Linked DNA regions of Drosophila melanogaster. The protein of the gene in region 2 interacts with the protein of the main gene of each other region in a pairwise test. Each region holds a gene or a part of one and is shown on either strand. Other genes may lie near its edges. The genes, in order: CG14882 and Sugb.

Evidence for each region.
Region 1: the proteins of Sugb (region 2) and CG14882 interact in a two-hybrid assay, tested with the Drosophila melanogaster proteins (one large-scale study listed by BioGRID).

Annotation. Positions count from the first base shown.
Region 1 is NT_033777.3:16,439,868-16,446,797, reverse strand, and holds CG14882 (uncharacterized protein), read right to left. Parts: upstream 3,592-6,930; 5' UTR 3,511-3,591; coding exon 3,421-3,510; intron 3,371-3,420; coding exon 2,096-3,370; 3' UTR 1,788-2,095; downstream 1-1,787. Other genes in the region: Ttc1 (tetratricopeptide repeat domain 1), read left to right, coding at 3,881-4,395, 4,450-4,726; ema (endosomal maturation defective), read left to right, coding at 5,380-5,585, 5,639-5,778, 5,842-5,990, 6,048-6,190, 6,247-6,333, 6,395-6,930.
Region 2 is NT_037436.4:11,679,761-11,689,663, reverse strand, and holds Sugb (sugar baby), read right to left. Parts: upstream 5,685-9,903; 5' UTR 5,083-5,684; coding exon 5,019-5,082; intron 3,595-5,018; coding exon 3,456-3,594; intron 2,940-3,455; coding exon 2,105-2,939; exon of another isoform or gene 2,042-2,104; coding exon 1,574-2,041; exon of another isoform or gene 1,513-1,573; coding exon 1,204-1,512; 3' UTR 839-1,203; downstream 1-838. Other genes in the region: TfIIEalpha (transcription factor IIEalpha), read right to left, coding at 5,995-6,188, 6,257-7,352.

The DNA.
Region 1 (6,930 bases), on a different chromosome or scaffold from region 2:
AAACGAACCCTAACAGAGAACATGCAATACTTGTTGTACATTACCAAAAAACAAAAAAAAAAAATCAAAACAAAACGAAGGCGATAGATATAGCAAGTCGAAATGAGTGTAACAAGTGCCATTAGGACTAGAGCTAGCAGCAGCAAGCGACACACAGCAAGATTATCTCCACAATTTATGCATTTCCCATAGAATACAGATATCGATGCAACAGATAACTAATTAGAGCCAGCTAGACAGAGCTTGTATGTATATTAGCTGATATTCGCAGTGTGGACGGGATTGAGGGATAAATGTTCGATATTCCATTTTAATTAGTACAAACGTAAGACTAACCAAACGCCACAAAAGAACAGATTAAAGTAGATTCCCTTGTTCCTTCCTTGGAGATATTTGCCATACGCACAAAGAAAATTGTAATTCTATACAAGCCCCTATCACAATAGAGATGTTATTTAACGCCGTAATGTGTGTGTCAAAGCTAAAGTGAAATATTGAAATATTGTCCCTAGAAAGACTATATAGATCATATAGAAGTGGTATACGTACACTAAACCTACTCCCAACGGGAATCATAAGCAATGCCAATTGCCGAAGAGAATATATTGAAGAAGGTTTAAACTACCTATTTTTCCATTATCCTCTCAGTTCGATATTTTATGCTATTTCCCACCACCACAAGTTCTATTCGAAAAGTATATCTGTGGGCTAGTCGCCAGACTACAGATATTTTACGAAAACACAACGAAGGCGAATGAAAAAAGGAGTGCATTCAAGGATCTTTCGCCAGCCGGTGTTAGCTTTTTTATCTGTTATATATACACTTACCGATAGGGATTATATTTTACTTGCAATTTTGATATTAATAGGGAAAATGGATTGCTGCTGCTGCAGATCGGTTCATAGTTAAATTTTATATACGAAATGAAATCCCAATATTTGGCCTACAATTATGCATTCATAATTTTTAAAGAGCTTAATTATTAATCGAAAATATACTTGATTTTCTTAGTTTAGCTTAAATGAGTATTAGGCAAGGCAACGAACGGATAGTATTTTGGGGCAGTAGAAACGGGGTTAGATTGCCTTTTTGGAAACCGAAACATACCCGACATTACATATTCGCAAACGCATTTAAGACGAACGCAAAATTTGCAATTAAAAACGTAAATGTAAAATGGAACTTAAGTCTTGAAACCAAACAAAGAACAACATAAAGTAGCATAATTTTTTATACGCAACTTTTATTGCAAATGTAAAGGGACGAATAGGAGAAAGAAGAAGCTGACATCAATTTTGATCGATTCGTAATTATATTAGTATACACTAAAAGAATTGGCTCTATTTCAATTAAACTTAAACGTAGATAAAATACAAAATGCATATTATTGTGCAAGGTCAAAACGACTTGCCAAAATAAACGTAAACAGTATAATAAATAAAAAGATCTAGATATTTAGAGAAGCGGAGAAACAATAACGATACATTAGCGCTTTACCAATCGGTTAAATTCAAAGAGCAAACCCTACTATACGTTTTATGTTTTATGTGTGCACGTTTAATTTGCTTGAAACCTAAGTCGTAATCTATATTCTACCATTATTTAGATATATTTTGCAATTTACCACTTAAGTCAATTTTATACACAGACCCAAATCCATTTAGTACACGTAGTCGTCCCCATCCACTTCGATCATTGAAGATGGCCCTCACAATTGTATGTATTTAGTTTACCTTGCACTGTAATTTTTATTTTGTGTTGTTAAATATATCGTTATTTACTTATTCGACCAAAGCTTTCTGTTTTATAATTATTTACATTGAGGCTGCAGTTAAAATAATAGCAATTGATTTACAAACATCTGAGTGCAAATACTTGCATACATTAGCTACTCAAATGAGCAGTGGAAGTGGTTCCTTTGCTACACTTATTTTCAATTATGAAAATAAACGACCTTAACCGTACGTAAAAACAACAAACACACTAAAAATTCAAATTTTCTGTAAGAGTTACAAACGACTAATATATTAAGGTATTTATTTATAGGGCTTAATTAATGAAGCTTTTATTTTGACTGCACCTAAGACTTGTCCATTACAGCCAAACATCCTCGCGGTATTTGTCCTGCTTCCTCAGTTTTTTTAACAGCTGCGAAGCTTCTTCTTCAGTGAGATGCATAGCCTTCTGCAAGCAACGACTTAAAACACCTGCAATGGACTGCGAAATCTTGGCGCCATCGGCACAAATGTACAACACAGTCTCTGACTTCATCAGGAACTCGACCAGATCCTCACAGTCCTCCTCCAACATATGTTGCACGTAGCTGGGGGATTCGCCTCGCGAGTAACACATCCGTAGGCGCTCGAGCAACGAAGATTCCTGCCACTCCATTAGTTTTTCACGCTTAAGAACTGCTTCTGGGGTCTTGGCACCAATGTAGAGCCAGGATTGCCCGCTTGGCTGTTGCGGCTGCTGTTTTATAAGCTCTTCCTTGTGGGCTAAGAATCCAAGAAAAGGCGCCAGACCTGTGCCAACAGCAATAAGTATTTGGTTTCTGCCCACATCCCGCTCTGTGTAACGGAATAGGTTGCTCATTCGTGGGTAGATAACTACTTTTTTGGAATGCTCCGGACTGCTTTGCTGTGCAGCCGCCTCCAACATGCTGGTTGTGACTCCAGGTTTGAGGCTGAGCAGCGAGTAGATAACGCGAAGTTCGCGATTACTAGCCTCCAAGGGACTGTTGGCAATGGAGTACGGTCGCGGCAGCAGCCGTGGCAAGTGCTCTGCCAGGAATGCCAGTGGTGGCCTGCAGTTGACGCACACTTCAAGAATGTCTATGAAAAGCAGGCCTTGCTCTAATATCAGCGATTGGTAGTACTCGGTGGCCTGTTTAGAGGACAGACAGGACAGGAAACAACGCTCTTTGTCATCGCTTGTAAATCCGGCCAGGGCGCTGAGGAGCTGCTTCTGCGGAACAAAATTAAGGGAGAGGCAGTGGGTAAGGATCTCCCGGGGAGTAGTAGTTGCTGGAATGTGGGCGGGTAGCTTAGCATTCTTATTGGCGCAGTTGAACACCAACTTTAAGTGGCAAGTGGTGTCGGCCTGGTCTAACAGTTCCAGCCGATGGAGCAGACTTTCCACTTGTTCGAGTTTATTAGCAGGCAAAATTCCAATGGTATCCCCGGGCTGGTAATCGAACGTGGACTCCAGAGTCAGCTCCACCACGCGTTTTGTCTCTGTAGCCTTATCAGCAGACACGAGCACCTTGCTCTCCTTTATCTCCACTGAACTTGGCTGGAAATCAGGGCGGGCGAATGGGAACTTTAAAATATCGCAGCATTTAAGTTGGCCGCATGTTTCGGTGGGTCTCTACAAAGATAGGCTTGAAAAGGCTATTCTCACGGTAGCTCCTAACTCACCTGCTCTTCGTCCGTGAAACACAACTCCAGATTACCGACCAGCGGCTTGGCGGGGATGTATTCACTCAATTTATAAGCTCCTAAGTCCATTTTTCCCGTATTTACCAATTCGCATGGGCAGCAGTCAAATCGTTAACAAGCGGTAGTGTTGGAAAGAGTTTATTTACAGCTTCCCTTATCAAGGGAAGCTGTAAAAGATTAAATGTTTATTTTAAATTGGTCTTCATCTTTGCCAAATACAACATTAAGGATTATCCTTAAATTATTTGTTTTAAAAATTATCTGTACCTAACATTTCTTAGCTTGGGAAGGTACCTAATCAGAAACCTACCTTTGTCAACACTGTACGACATCGGTGTTATCGATATGCACAGTTATCGTTAGCATGAGGAGCTTTATTTGTTGCTGAACAACAAACCGAAATCTCCAGTAAATTCGGTAAGGATCAATTTTAAAAAGAATGGCAGGCAACGCCAACAGTGACGACGAATTCCATGATGCGATCGGGGAGGAGATAACCGAAAAAGAGGCCACCAGCACGCGGCAGAGCGAAAAGGACGTGGATGAGATCGTGGAGAAGCAAAACCAGCTGGCGTTGGATGACGAAGCGGAACAGGGCGCGGCTGGTGGAGATTCCATCGCGACACCAACGACAGTGGACTCTGAGCTAACCATTGAGGAGTTGCGCGAACGGGAGAAGGATCTCAGCCCAGAGCAGCTGACAGCTAACAAAGAAAAGGCCGATAAGCTGAAAGTTGAGGGCAACGAGTTGTTCAAAAATGACGACGCCGAAGGCGCCGCCAAGACCTACACAGAAGCCTTAGACATTTGCCCCTCGGCCAGCTCCAAGGAGCGAGCAGTTCTCTACGGAAACAGGGCTGCTGCCAAGATTAAGCTGGAGGCCAACAAAGCGGCCATCGACGACTGCACAAAGGCTATAGAACTGTGGCCGGAGTATGTGAGGGTGCTTTTAAGGTCTTTATTTTAATATCTCCCTTAAAATTTCTAAAGTCTAATTACATCTTACAGGCGCGCCAAGCTCTATGAGCAAGAAGACAAGCCCGACGAGGCTCTGGAGGACTACAAAAAAGTTACTGAGATCGATCCCGGTCAGCAGGAGGCTCGCGAGGCTCAGATTCGGCTGCCGCCAATTATAAACGAGCGCAACGAGAAGCTCAAAAACGAGATGATGTCCAGCTTAAAGGACCTGGGCAACATGATACTCAAACCGTTCGGACTGTCTACACAGAATTTCCAAATGCAACAGGATCCCAACACGGGCTCGTATTCCATCAACTTTAAATAAAAACCTAGCTAGCTAATGCTCTGCAGATCAACAAATAAAGCCGTATTCGTGGATGATGTGTAAAATAATAGTCAAACTGTAGCAAAACGTATCAAATTCAGTTCTCGTACATTTTCACCTCTGTAGAATATGCAAATGTGAACCCATTTTCATAACAAACGGTACCAAAAAAATCCATTAATTATATTTAATGTAAAATGCATGGTGTGATATGCTATTAATATATGAGGTTTGTTCCAAATTTTACTGTCTGGTTTTACAAAATTCAAACGGTTCTTTTGAGAGGTTTTTAAAAGTCGTGAACCAGTCGCAGTTCTCATGCAATCACAACAAAATAGCCACTTGTCATCTCTGTTACTTCGATACCGATAACCATAAATATGGGCGGAAGCAACAGCTGACTGTGACACTTGTGTTCCCCGTGAAGAAGAAGAGCAATTTGTTGGAAAAAATCGCCATTCGCAAATTACAATATTAGATTCGTGCAATCGCAGGCATTAGGTGCCCCCTTATTGTGGGCCAACCCAGTGGCGTGACCGTGAGCAGTAGTGCATGCAAAGATCCAAGAGAACAGCGCTCCCGCACTCCTCCTTACCCTGATATGAGAGCAGTCAGGCGGATCGTGGCCAGTTGATTCCATCCTAGTTGCCAACATGTTCCGGAGTCGCAGCTGGTTTGGCGGACCCTGGGGTGGGCGGCCCAAAAACCGCTTGTCGCTGGAGCACCTTAAGTACCTGTACAGCATTCTGGAGAAGAACACCACCGTGTCGGAAAGTAATCGTGGCCTGCTGGTGGAGTCGCTGCGCTGCATCGCAGAGATCCTGATTTGGGGCGACCAGCATGACTCGCTGGTGTTTGAGTGAGTATTAAGCATCTCAATGTAATAAACCTTAATCTAATTATTTGCAACAGCTTCTTCTTGGAGAAGAATATGCTATCGTATTTCCTGCACATAATGCGACAAAAGAGTGGAGGCTCGAGTTTCGTCTGCGTGCAGCTCCTTCAGACTCTCAACATCCTCTTTGAGAACATACGCAACGAGACGTCCCTGTGTAAGTACAATTTTCAACAGTTTCTATAATACAGTAGACGTAATCATTCCTATGACGTTGCAGATTATCTGTTGAGCAACAACCATGTAAATTCTATCATGGTGCACAAGTTTGACTTCTCCGACGAGGATGTGATGGGCTATTATATACTTTTTTTAAAGACGCTAAGTCTAAAGTTAAACACTCACACAATACACTTCTTTTACAATGAGGTTTGCATTGCCTAAAACACATATTTACATCCATTTAATGTGACATATTCCTTACAGCACACAAATGACTTTCCCTTGTATACAGAGGCTATTAAGTTCTTTAATCATCCCGAGTCAATGGTGAGAATTGCAGTGCGCACCATTTCCTTAAATGTCTACAAGGTTCAAAATCCAAGCATGTTGCGTTTTATTCGAGACAAGTACGACCTTTGCCTTCAGTCCCATGAGCTCCATTAAACTATTTTTTTCTCCCTAGAACGGCTGCTCCATATTTCAGTAATCTGGTCTGGTTTATCGGCAAACACATTCTTGAACTAGACACTTGTGTTCGCACAGATATAGAGTAAGAGTTATTGTAATATAGTCCCTCGTTTTATAGTATTGATTTCTTAATTCATCCGCAGCCATCAATCGAATCAAAAGCTGTCCAATTTGGTTGCCGAGCATCTGGATCATTTGCATTATTTGAGTGACATTCTTCTACTGGAAATCAAGGATCTGAACGCGGTGTTAACCGAGCACTTGCTGCATAAGCTATTCGTGCCTCTGTACATATTCTCACTTACACCAGCTCCGCCCCCGCCCTCACTGGCAGTGGTTACCCAGAATCTAGCTGCTGTGCTTAATCGCAATGTGGACATCGACATACAGGAGATGCACAATCCGCGAGTGAGCTCCATCGTGGCCCTTTTCCTGCTCTCATTGGTCTTCCTGGTGGTTTCGCATGCCCCTCTGGTGCACGCTCTGGCCTGGGTTATCCTCAATGGTGACCACAGCGTTTTTAAGGAGGGTGCAGCCGAGATTCTTAATTCATACGTTGAGCACCGCGAGGTGGTTGTGCCTGGCTTCGGCGAGCCCGACGAGAGTCTCGAACAGGCCTTGGATACAGTCACCGGTCAGTCCAGCTCGTCCAGCTATGCCCTTAGCGAGGACAGTGGCG
Region 2 (9,903 bases):
ATATTATTTATAAATATACAAATATTTATGTTTAACATTAAGATGGTGTGGAGAAACAATAGTTGAACAATCACAGCGCCAAGGCAGCGGCTTATTTAAACTAAAATTCGCGGTAAACATTGTTTTTAACTACTAGAACATGCAAACAACCAGCTGCGCTTGAAATTCTACAAATAATTAAGTTCTCACATTGGTTTCAATTGTAAATGAGAAAATGAGGAAGAGCTTCGCTTACGCGACATGCACGCGTAGGTGGCGATCCGTGTGAGTGTGGGGCTACTGAGATAAGTTACTACTTAATTAAAGCGAGATTACAATACAGGTAGTACATCGATTCAACATGCAGCTCGGGAGTAGAAATATGTTGGAGTGCAGCATTCATTTGAACTGTAGAAGCGTGGCCCTTGTCGCCGCTGTTTTTTAGGCTGGCGCTCGTTGGTGATTGGTGTTGTGGGTGGTGATGCGTCCAATACAAACATTGTTTAGCTAACTCTACTATACTCCTGATCATTCAGCATGTGCATTGCATCTGTCGGTGCGAAATACTTGACAGTGCCTAAAAATATTCAGAAGAGTTAGTGAAACATTTATATTATTGTATTAAATAATAAATTTACAAGTAAAAGCTAAAGGGGGATTGAATCTAATAAACATTCCACTTAAATTACACACAGGAACTAAAGCGATTAGTTTAAAATGCCAAAAAAAAGTAAGTTACATTTCATTATGGCTGACCAAAAGTGTTAGTCTACATGTTAGCTCATTATTTTTCCACTGTAAGAATATTTACTTCTTATAAATTATTTAGGTTTTATAGGCACTTAAAATAGTTTTTCTTCTCTTTTTTCAAAGAAATCGAATACCCATTTTATTTGTTAAAGTTTTCTTCAGTTCGCATACATTTAAATTGAAAAAGTATGATATGGCTATCATCATTTCGTTTCAGTATTACAAAGCTTATTTCATAGGACGACAATATTATAAATTCATTTTGAGAATTATTAGGTTTGTTTTCGTCAAATATTCTATTATAAAATCTATGGCAGATCTTACAAAATATATGGTGGTTTAAGTACAATGGCCAGCGTATCCACTGCATTTAAATGGATAATACTTAAGGGCGCTAGCTTCTGGTTAGTTTAAATCCGTCAATTTACATAAAACTACAAAATTCAAAATTCAGGAAGACAATCACGGTCACCATCAACTCAAGTCGACTTCGCGAAACCCGTCACCGTCTTTATGGTCTGTATTTTTAGGAATGTCTGTCTCCAAGGGTGCAGAGGGTGAGGCAGTGGCGGAGGCAGAAGCGACCGTACCCTTACCATTTTCGTCGATGTTGCTGTTGCGCTGCAGATACAGCTGGATGCAAACGTGGATCACAAAGACAATGAAGGCACCAATTCCGAAGATCTCAAAGGTGGTGCGTGCAGTGACCGACTCAAATAGCTGTCCAGCGATCAGGCTGCCCATTGACACACCAACGCCTTCGAATATCGCTCCAACCAGACTCTGAAATGGCCACAATATGCATAACTCTTGGGATCGCCCCCTACACATTCATCGAACTCACCTGCATGGTAGCATCGGTGCCTGGCGGTGCCACAATGCTTGCATAGGAGGCCATTGTTGCATAAAATAGACCGAAGGTCACCCCGTTCATCAGTTCGATGGGCAGGATGTACCAGGGATTCTGAAGCATCGAGTAGAGAATAAATCTCACTCCGAATCCAAAAAGCACCACACTCATGGCGTTTACATGGCCAATTTTCTTTAGAATCCATCCGGATAGGAAGAAGAACGGCAGCTCACCGCCAAAACACTGAATCCCCATGACCAAGCCCTCCAATGTCTTAATCGAGCTGTCGCATCCCTCGAACGCCTTGTCCAGCTCCTCCAGGTATATGAAAAGGAAGTTCCATATCAGCGCCGTTCCAAGTCCAATGGCAACGCACCACAAGAAAAATATAACGCAGCGCACCGAGAGAAACATCTGACCCACATCTTTCAAAATATTGGACGACAAATGTGTTGGCGTGTGCTGTAATTTGGAGTACGGAAACTTTAGTTTAAGGAAAGGATTTTCTGTCTCTGATATGCTCACCCTCAGCTTGGATGATGCGAACACATCAAATCCCATGATAAGCAAAGCCATCCAGAACACGGCCGTGTAGTTCTTGTTCACCTCACCCAATGACATGTGATCCACAAGGAGGCCGGCCAAGAGGGCAAAAACTCCCCATCCAAGGGAGCCGCACAGGCGCTGTTTGCCGTACAGGTGATGACGATCGCCGAGGATGCCAAAGCATATGGCGTCACCAATGCTGACCACCACCGCCATGCCGATCCAGCTGAAGATGAGCAGGCCAAAGAACAGCCAAAACTGCGGCATGGTTACGGCACTACTCGTGTTAATCACAGCACTCTCCGCCAGCTGCTCCTTGAGATAGTCCTCACGACAGTCCATGGTGCAATTGGATTTGAAGTACTCCTTCTCCTTCGGGCAGTACAACGTGACATTCTGGCCTGCAATCTGGCCTTGATCGTGCGGAATCATGAAGAACATGCAGCTGCCATCATTCTCAATCTTTTGCATAGTTATGCTGGCTCCGAATTCCATCTGGGTATTGGTTCGATTGGCGGCACAGTTTTCCGTGTTGTTCTTTAGCCAATCTTCACACACTATGTCCCACATGAAGGGCTGTGCCTCGCAGTTCAGTTCACACTCCAACGTCCTGTTCCCGTAGTACCGCTCAAGATTTCTCTCCACGCACTCGCCGTACTCCGAGCAGAATCTCGGAATGTCGGATACACCCTGGTGGCAGTGGAACTCGACCTTGGGCAACGGCTTCTCCATTCCCGGCACGAACATGATGAGGAAAAAGGCGATGCCCGTGAGGACCTGGCCACCCAGAAATAGGGGTCGATGGCGATGGTACCTTTGGATGGGTGAAAACCATTCTAATTAGTTAAATCTTCAAATAGTCAGTGTATCAGAATTAGTTCAAATTTTCCTATTATTGAATTAATATTTTCTAATTGGTAGAAAACCAACAAGTGACACCTAAAAACAAGTACATTATCTTTCGATAATGAATAAATTTATCCATCAATCAGCAAACCAACTATAAGCATTGTCATTGCAAATTTGAACTGTGTCTTTTGATTGATAGTGTTAATCAGTTAATATTCAAATTCTTTGGTAAAACATATGTAATTGATGCCACTCTAAAGGGGCTTTATCTTTTTTTGTTGTTTGATAATTTCCTTAAATTCAGTTGGGATATGCATACATAGACACTTTATGAGTATAGCTCACTTGAAACTTATCACAAAAAGACGTAACATTGTGCTGAGTAGGAGTTTATAAAATTAAATAAAGTGTGATAAACAAACGTGTTTGGGTCTTGGAAATTGGATCTACATGGACAGATAAGTCAGAGGGATCATCTTACCGGTCCGCAATGTATCCAAAGAGGGGCTTCGCCAGCATTCCGATGATGGGAAGGATAGTGTACATGGTGCCCACAACGGCGGGGGAGTAGCCCAATTGGCCGGCCAGAGTGGGCATGAAGGGGACGACGGGAGCGGTGCCTAAATAAATATAATGCAGAAAAACACTAGATTATCTTGCCGACTCGTTAGAGCTGATAAGTAAGATGAGTGAGTGAGTGGGTGGAGATATGCATATGGGCAGTTCGAAAGCAGTGGGTGTTTCTCCACCGCCGATAAGCAAAGTCAACCGCAAACAAGTGCAACTAGCTAGACATTGTCGGCTCGCTTCGAAGTAGAACATACCTAATGTTAATTGAATTGAAAAGCAAAAGTAAGCTTTAATTGCTGAAAGTGGTTTGCCTGTCGGCACGTCTTAACTTTTGATGACTTTCGGGCGCGGCATTGAGGTCTCTGGGCCATGGTGCTGTCACAAAATCTCGTTTCCTAACAATTGGACACCTTTGACAGTGGGATTGCGATGAGTCCGCCGCTCATCATTTCGAAAACGGTTTAGTCGTGGTTTAGCTTGGGGTATAAAGTACACCTTATCGCACGTCTGTGTTTGCATGGCCAAGAATAGTATTACTATCTTCACAATTTTCAAAACATCTAATTACTAATACGAATATCAGTAACATCTGATGTTTTAACTAACCAAAAATGAATTGTGTCAGCCAATTCTGGCAATTGACACCAGATTGGAAATTGTATTATTTTGTTTCTATGTGGTCTTAACTCAAATAAAGTGCTTAATTAATTGGACGCCAGACATTTACAGATACTTCAAATTTTCCATCCGTTTCCATGGAAAAGTTATATTAATTGAAGTGATTCCAAATACACATTTTTTGATGATTTTATACAGAATAGAGCGTGTTTCACTGGTATTGCTGGATAGGAGATTATTTCCACGAAAAATATTAATCGTATGAAAATTGTAAATTGTTGCTGTTTTAGTATGTATGTGTATATGGGCGTACTTTTAATAAAATATGGATATTAAATGGTTGTAAAATACACTAACATATCAGTAGATACAAGACAATTGAATTTTTTGTAACAGCTCAAAGTTATAAGGGTTACAGCTAATTAAGTTTCGATTACACGACATAAACGTAATGGAATTGCTCCGATTGTAATTAAAAGCCAGCAAAGTGCTGCATCATACGATGGGAATCGAATCGTAACCCGAATCTGCCTGCATTAGCTTATCGCTATTTAACTGGACTTTCATTGCTCTATGTTCTCTATTGCGGGTGATTGCCTTATCTTCGAACATGGTGCTCTATATGTTCATTAATGCATAAGTGCCCTGTGACGAAATCGAAGCTACAGATCAAAAGTTCGCAATTAACAGCTAAATGTATGTACATATGGATGTACGTACACACACTCATATACATATATATACATATATGCAGCACGTGCGTGCCTCTGAAAACGAGAAAACATTATCGGCTGATGTAAGCGATGCGCGGTGCTTAACTTAATGGTTTTGCTAGGTATGGGGAAGGGGTACTTGCCGGCGTTGAAGAGAAAGTAGTGCGCCTTCATGGGCAGCAGCTCCTTATCGATGGTGGCCTTCATTTCGGCGTAATTACGTTGACCCGCGGCACAAAGATCAATACTATCGGTGCTAAACTAGCGCGTTTTTCAGTTCATTCACAAAAAATGCGAGGGCAAGCAGAAAGAGCATGTGCCTGCACACTCACACAGCCAGCAGGTGTTGTTATTTATTTTGCATGTGTGTTTTTGCACGCGGGATCACGTTTCTGCTCCAATTGGAATCCGCTGAGTTGGTTTAATCCGTTTTCCTTTCAAAGAATCAACACTTTTGCTCGTTGGCTATTCGAAGTGCAAGGGAACTTGTCGCACTTTTAGCACGAATTGAGTGCCGCACCACGCACAGTCCGCGGAAATCGAGGGCTCCGGCTAGATGGACATCCAAAACACGACTGAATGGAGCCGCTGGCGTTACGAGCCGAGTGTCAACATGTTTGGTTGTGTTTGCCGTCGTTTGTTTACGAATCCGCCTTATCTGCGGCACACCAATTATTATAAACTGAATACGCCCACCGACGAACAAGAAGAGGCGCCCGGCCGCTCGGTTTTTTATTAGCAACACTTAAATAAACCTAAGAAAAAAAAAAAACAATAATGGCAAACACAGCTGATTGGACCGACTAGGGATGGGAGTTGGTCCAGCTAGAGATGGCACTTGCTTACAAGCGAAAATAACGAGCTTTAATGTATTTTAAAATATTTGTCTATTTAGAAGATTATTGAAAACGTCCAATAGCTTCTATAAATTATAATACACAATTTTTTGCTCAAAATATTTCCCAGTATCAAACTCGGTCTTTGTTTATGCACATTTTTATACGCATTTCATTTGTACACATTCGCTCGAACTAGTGGGTAACTTAAATTACAATGACTCTATGCGTGAGATGGGAAACTCGTGGAAAACGTAGAAATCGTGGCTAATTGCAGACGCCCTCATTCGAATATATGGCTGTAGTGCTGCTGGTATACGTGTATGTAGTTCTCCTTCTCCTGCGGCGTCATCTGGGCTATCAGGTTGTCGTCCAGTTGGTCGAGCGGATGCGGTCGTCCAGCCACTAGCACAGTGGGCACATCGTCGTCCTCCTCCGCGGAATCTGAGTTGATATAATTGTCGAAGTCGACATCAGCTGCAAGTACAAAAACGTATATTAGAACCCATAAAAGATGAGATCGAGAAATGGTTGGTGCTTCTTACGAATCTTGGAATTTTCGATGTCCTTTTCGTCGTCGCTGGAATCGCTAGAGTTGGCGTTCGATGAGCCCACTCGCATACCCTTCATATGCGGCTCCTTCTGGCCCGGCTGCTTCTCATGCTGCAGCAGCACGGACATGATGTCCTCGTTTTCCTTTCGGTTGCGATGCCCAGATCCGCTTGCCGTCTGCACCGCATCGGCCGCGCCATCGGCAGCATCCGTGTCGGTTATCACAGTGCTCTCTGTCATCCAAATGGGGCGCGACTTGCGCTCAATCACCGCATCCGAGGTGTCGTCGCCGCCAATGGTGACGTCCACACGAGTTTCCTCCACGGCAAAGCCCTGGTTTCTCGTCGCCTCACCCGACCACGCCATGCCGTCCGGTCGCGTGGCGTTGGGTTTGTTCAGTCCTCGAATGGTGTCGATGTCCACGGGCTCCGGTTCGAGCACCTCTGGCGCCAGCTTGATGCCCTCCACCTCACGGAGCAGGTCGTACAGTGGCTGCAGCTGCTCGTTGAAGTGCGCTAGCATTAGGCGGGAGTCTTTCTTGGGCATGGCGGCGCTGTCCTCCTCCACGGAACTGCCGCAGAAGGTGCACCGGAACTCCAGCGTGGCCATGTCGAACAGCTGGTCCGCTTCGAGGTCCGTGAATGTTTTGGAACACGAAGAGCACTTAAAACTTGCTCTACTGGTGGCATCACGCTCCTCCGTCTCCATACGCTTGCGCATGAGATCCAGCTTGTACTTCACCACGTTCACGAAGGTCTTGTAGTTGATGAAGTAGTAATTGACCTTCTGCGCCTTACCATCCGGCCCCGTTTCCATTTTAAGCCTGATCTGGATGAACTTGTCGGTGCGCAGCGTGGTTATCCGGGCCCTTAACTGCTTCTTCTCGAAGCGCAACAGCTCGCCGATGTCGTCCTCCTTCATGCAGGGATTCCGCACCAGCATGTCGATGATAAGCGCATCCTCCAGGGAATAGAATCCACGGACCACGAGGCGCGCCAGTTGCTTCAGACTGCTGGGCACCTCGGTCACGTACCGCACCTCCGTCTTCGCTGGCGCTGCGTTCGCTGCAGCCGTCGATGTCGACGACATTGTGTGTTTATCTGGAGGATCGGCATTATTAAGATATATATAAACTGATTTTTTCCTTTTGTTGCGAGTGCTCTCCTCACGCCACTTACCAGACTCTCGAAACCGGAACTCCGGAAGCAGAGCACTTTGCGGTTATTCAATGCAGGCAGTGGGTCCGTGGATCTTCATGGGTCTACCGGCAGTCATCTGCTCGCTGTTTGCCCGTATTTCGTATGATTTTCCACGGCAAAAATAAAATTTCCACCGCCAAATTCTTCTTTGTGCAGCAATGTGGCCAAAGAAATTCCTTCGAAAGTCCTCGAAGCAACGCGAAAACCCCTAAATAAGCCTCGCCTTTAGGTGAAACACTTGGATAGAAGGGTAGCTACGCTTCAAACCGATTTTTAGCCCGCACAATTTAGGGCATTGCCACACCAAACTTTTGAAAAACTCATTTCAAAAACGTAGCGTTGAAAAACATTTTATTAGAGACATTAATTTAGCGAAGAATTTAATAATACGAAAATAATTTAGCTATATTTACTTTAAACCAATAATGTTGTTGTTAACTCGAAAGCATTTTGTAGAAATGTGTTTATACATTTAACAATTTTTTTAGAAACCAAATAACCTTTTAACAACTTTTTACTACTACGGAATTTGCCAGATTTGAACGCACTACATTTACATGTTTGTGCAATGGCTTTACTAACAACTTCGCATCTGAGCGCTGTTTGCTTTGAATGTTTTTGACCGCAGAAATGAGTGAAAATAATCCAACAAGTCGTCCTCTCGCCGCCTTTGTTTATCCGCTCGAAGTGCTTAATATTTCATGCTCCGCTGTCTAGGGTCGTCTATTTTTTAATGCGAACTTCGCCTTGCGTTCGAGTGCATTCCGGTGTAATCCCCCGGAACGAGGCTCGCCCACATAAAAAATACCATGGCTACAGGAGCAGAAGCCAAGCAGAAGCCAAGCAGCCGCCGCGGGGGTGGACTTTCCACGGGATCAGAGGTCGGGGGCGCAGACGTCTCCTTGCGTGTTTATTTGGCAGCCAACACACTTCTGTTGTCCTCGATGAATGTCATGGATATAATTGGACGCACAATGCGAAGTCCGAATCAGCTGCTCCATGTTTACAAATGCCAATTCAACAGACAGAAAATAGGCAAATTTATGGAACACGACGAATCAGTTTCCAAAGAAATTATTTTTGCAAAAAAAAAACTCGTGTTTAACTGGAAATCCTATCAAAAAGATTCTTTCATTGACTAATGATCAAATTAGCATTTAAAGTATTAAAACTAAATATAAAACTCAAAATTTAGCCTTTATTGTTTCACTTCTTCTGCAATAAGTTGACTTTTTGTCGCTTTTCTAACTTAAAATTTTTATAAAGGTTTTTCTTGAAATACATATATAAATATTTGTTGTTATGAATGAAAATTGAAACGCGTTTGAATGTGGTATCTTAATCTTTACTGTAACAAATCTTCAGTTATTTGCAAGATGGTTTATCCTAATATGTATGCTGTAATTTAGTTTCTGTACAAATTGAAATATTAAATAAAAATATATTGCTATTAATGAATATTTAACTTTTAAAATGTTTACAGTGCCAACTGCAGCACGTGAACACCCACGGGCGTCCAGCCTGCAGAGTTGCCTGAATGGCTCGGAAAAGCCCAGTCGCTCAAAGGGTGGGAAACTACTCCGCGGAAACTCCTCCTGAACTTGTTTACCTTGCAGCGGAGGGCAGGGCGCAGACTCAGCGAGAAAAGTGGACACAGACAGGGGAGTAGGCCGAAAGTGCTTAGACGCTTTTCCGAAAAGGAAGCAATAGATACCCTACAGCACTACGTCCATGGGAAAAGCTCTTTTCCGCGCGCGAGGGAGAGAGCAGCGGGCAGTGCGCAGGCTCTCGCTCTCTCTCTCGTTCGTTGCGGGGAAAACAGAAAAAGGCTTTTCCACTTTCGCTGTTGGCATCCGCCTGCAGTTTGAATTTTGAGTCGTGCGCGCTAACGCTCGTTTTCCACGCTTTTCCGCTCGACAATTTTCCAACGGCGGCCACAACAATTACAGGCGACAAAAGCGTGCAAATAAAAACTTGTGTTTCTGCTTTCCCAACGTTTTACTGCAGTTTCCTTCGCTGTCTGCGAGACGGCGGACTTTCTTGCGGCTTTCGTTTTTCCGTTCGCGTGTGTGTTTTCTTTCGGTGTTTTTGTGTGTTTTCCGCTGCGAATACGGAACGCAAAAGGAAGAGCCACGATAAAAAACACAAAGGAAAATTGGTAAAACGCGGCGCCGCCACTTTTGCCAAATTGATTTTTATTGTATGAGACGCAGAGTTCAAGCATTATATAAAGAATCAAGCAAGGATAAGGTTGGTTTTCAAAGCCCTCTTGCATGATTTGAATGTGTTAAAAACAATATATAGAAATTATAAGATACCATTACTGGACTTAGTGCATCAGTTTTGTGGGCCGCACGTGAACCGCTGTTGGCCAGTTTCACCCTCTTGCGCGGCTCACCCTCGAAAGATAGAGAGCCGGTCGCTAACCGCCCCCAGGGGGT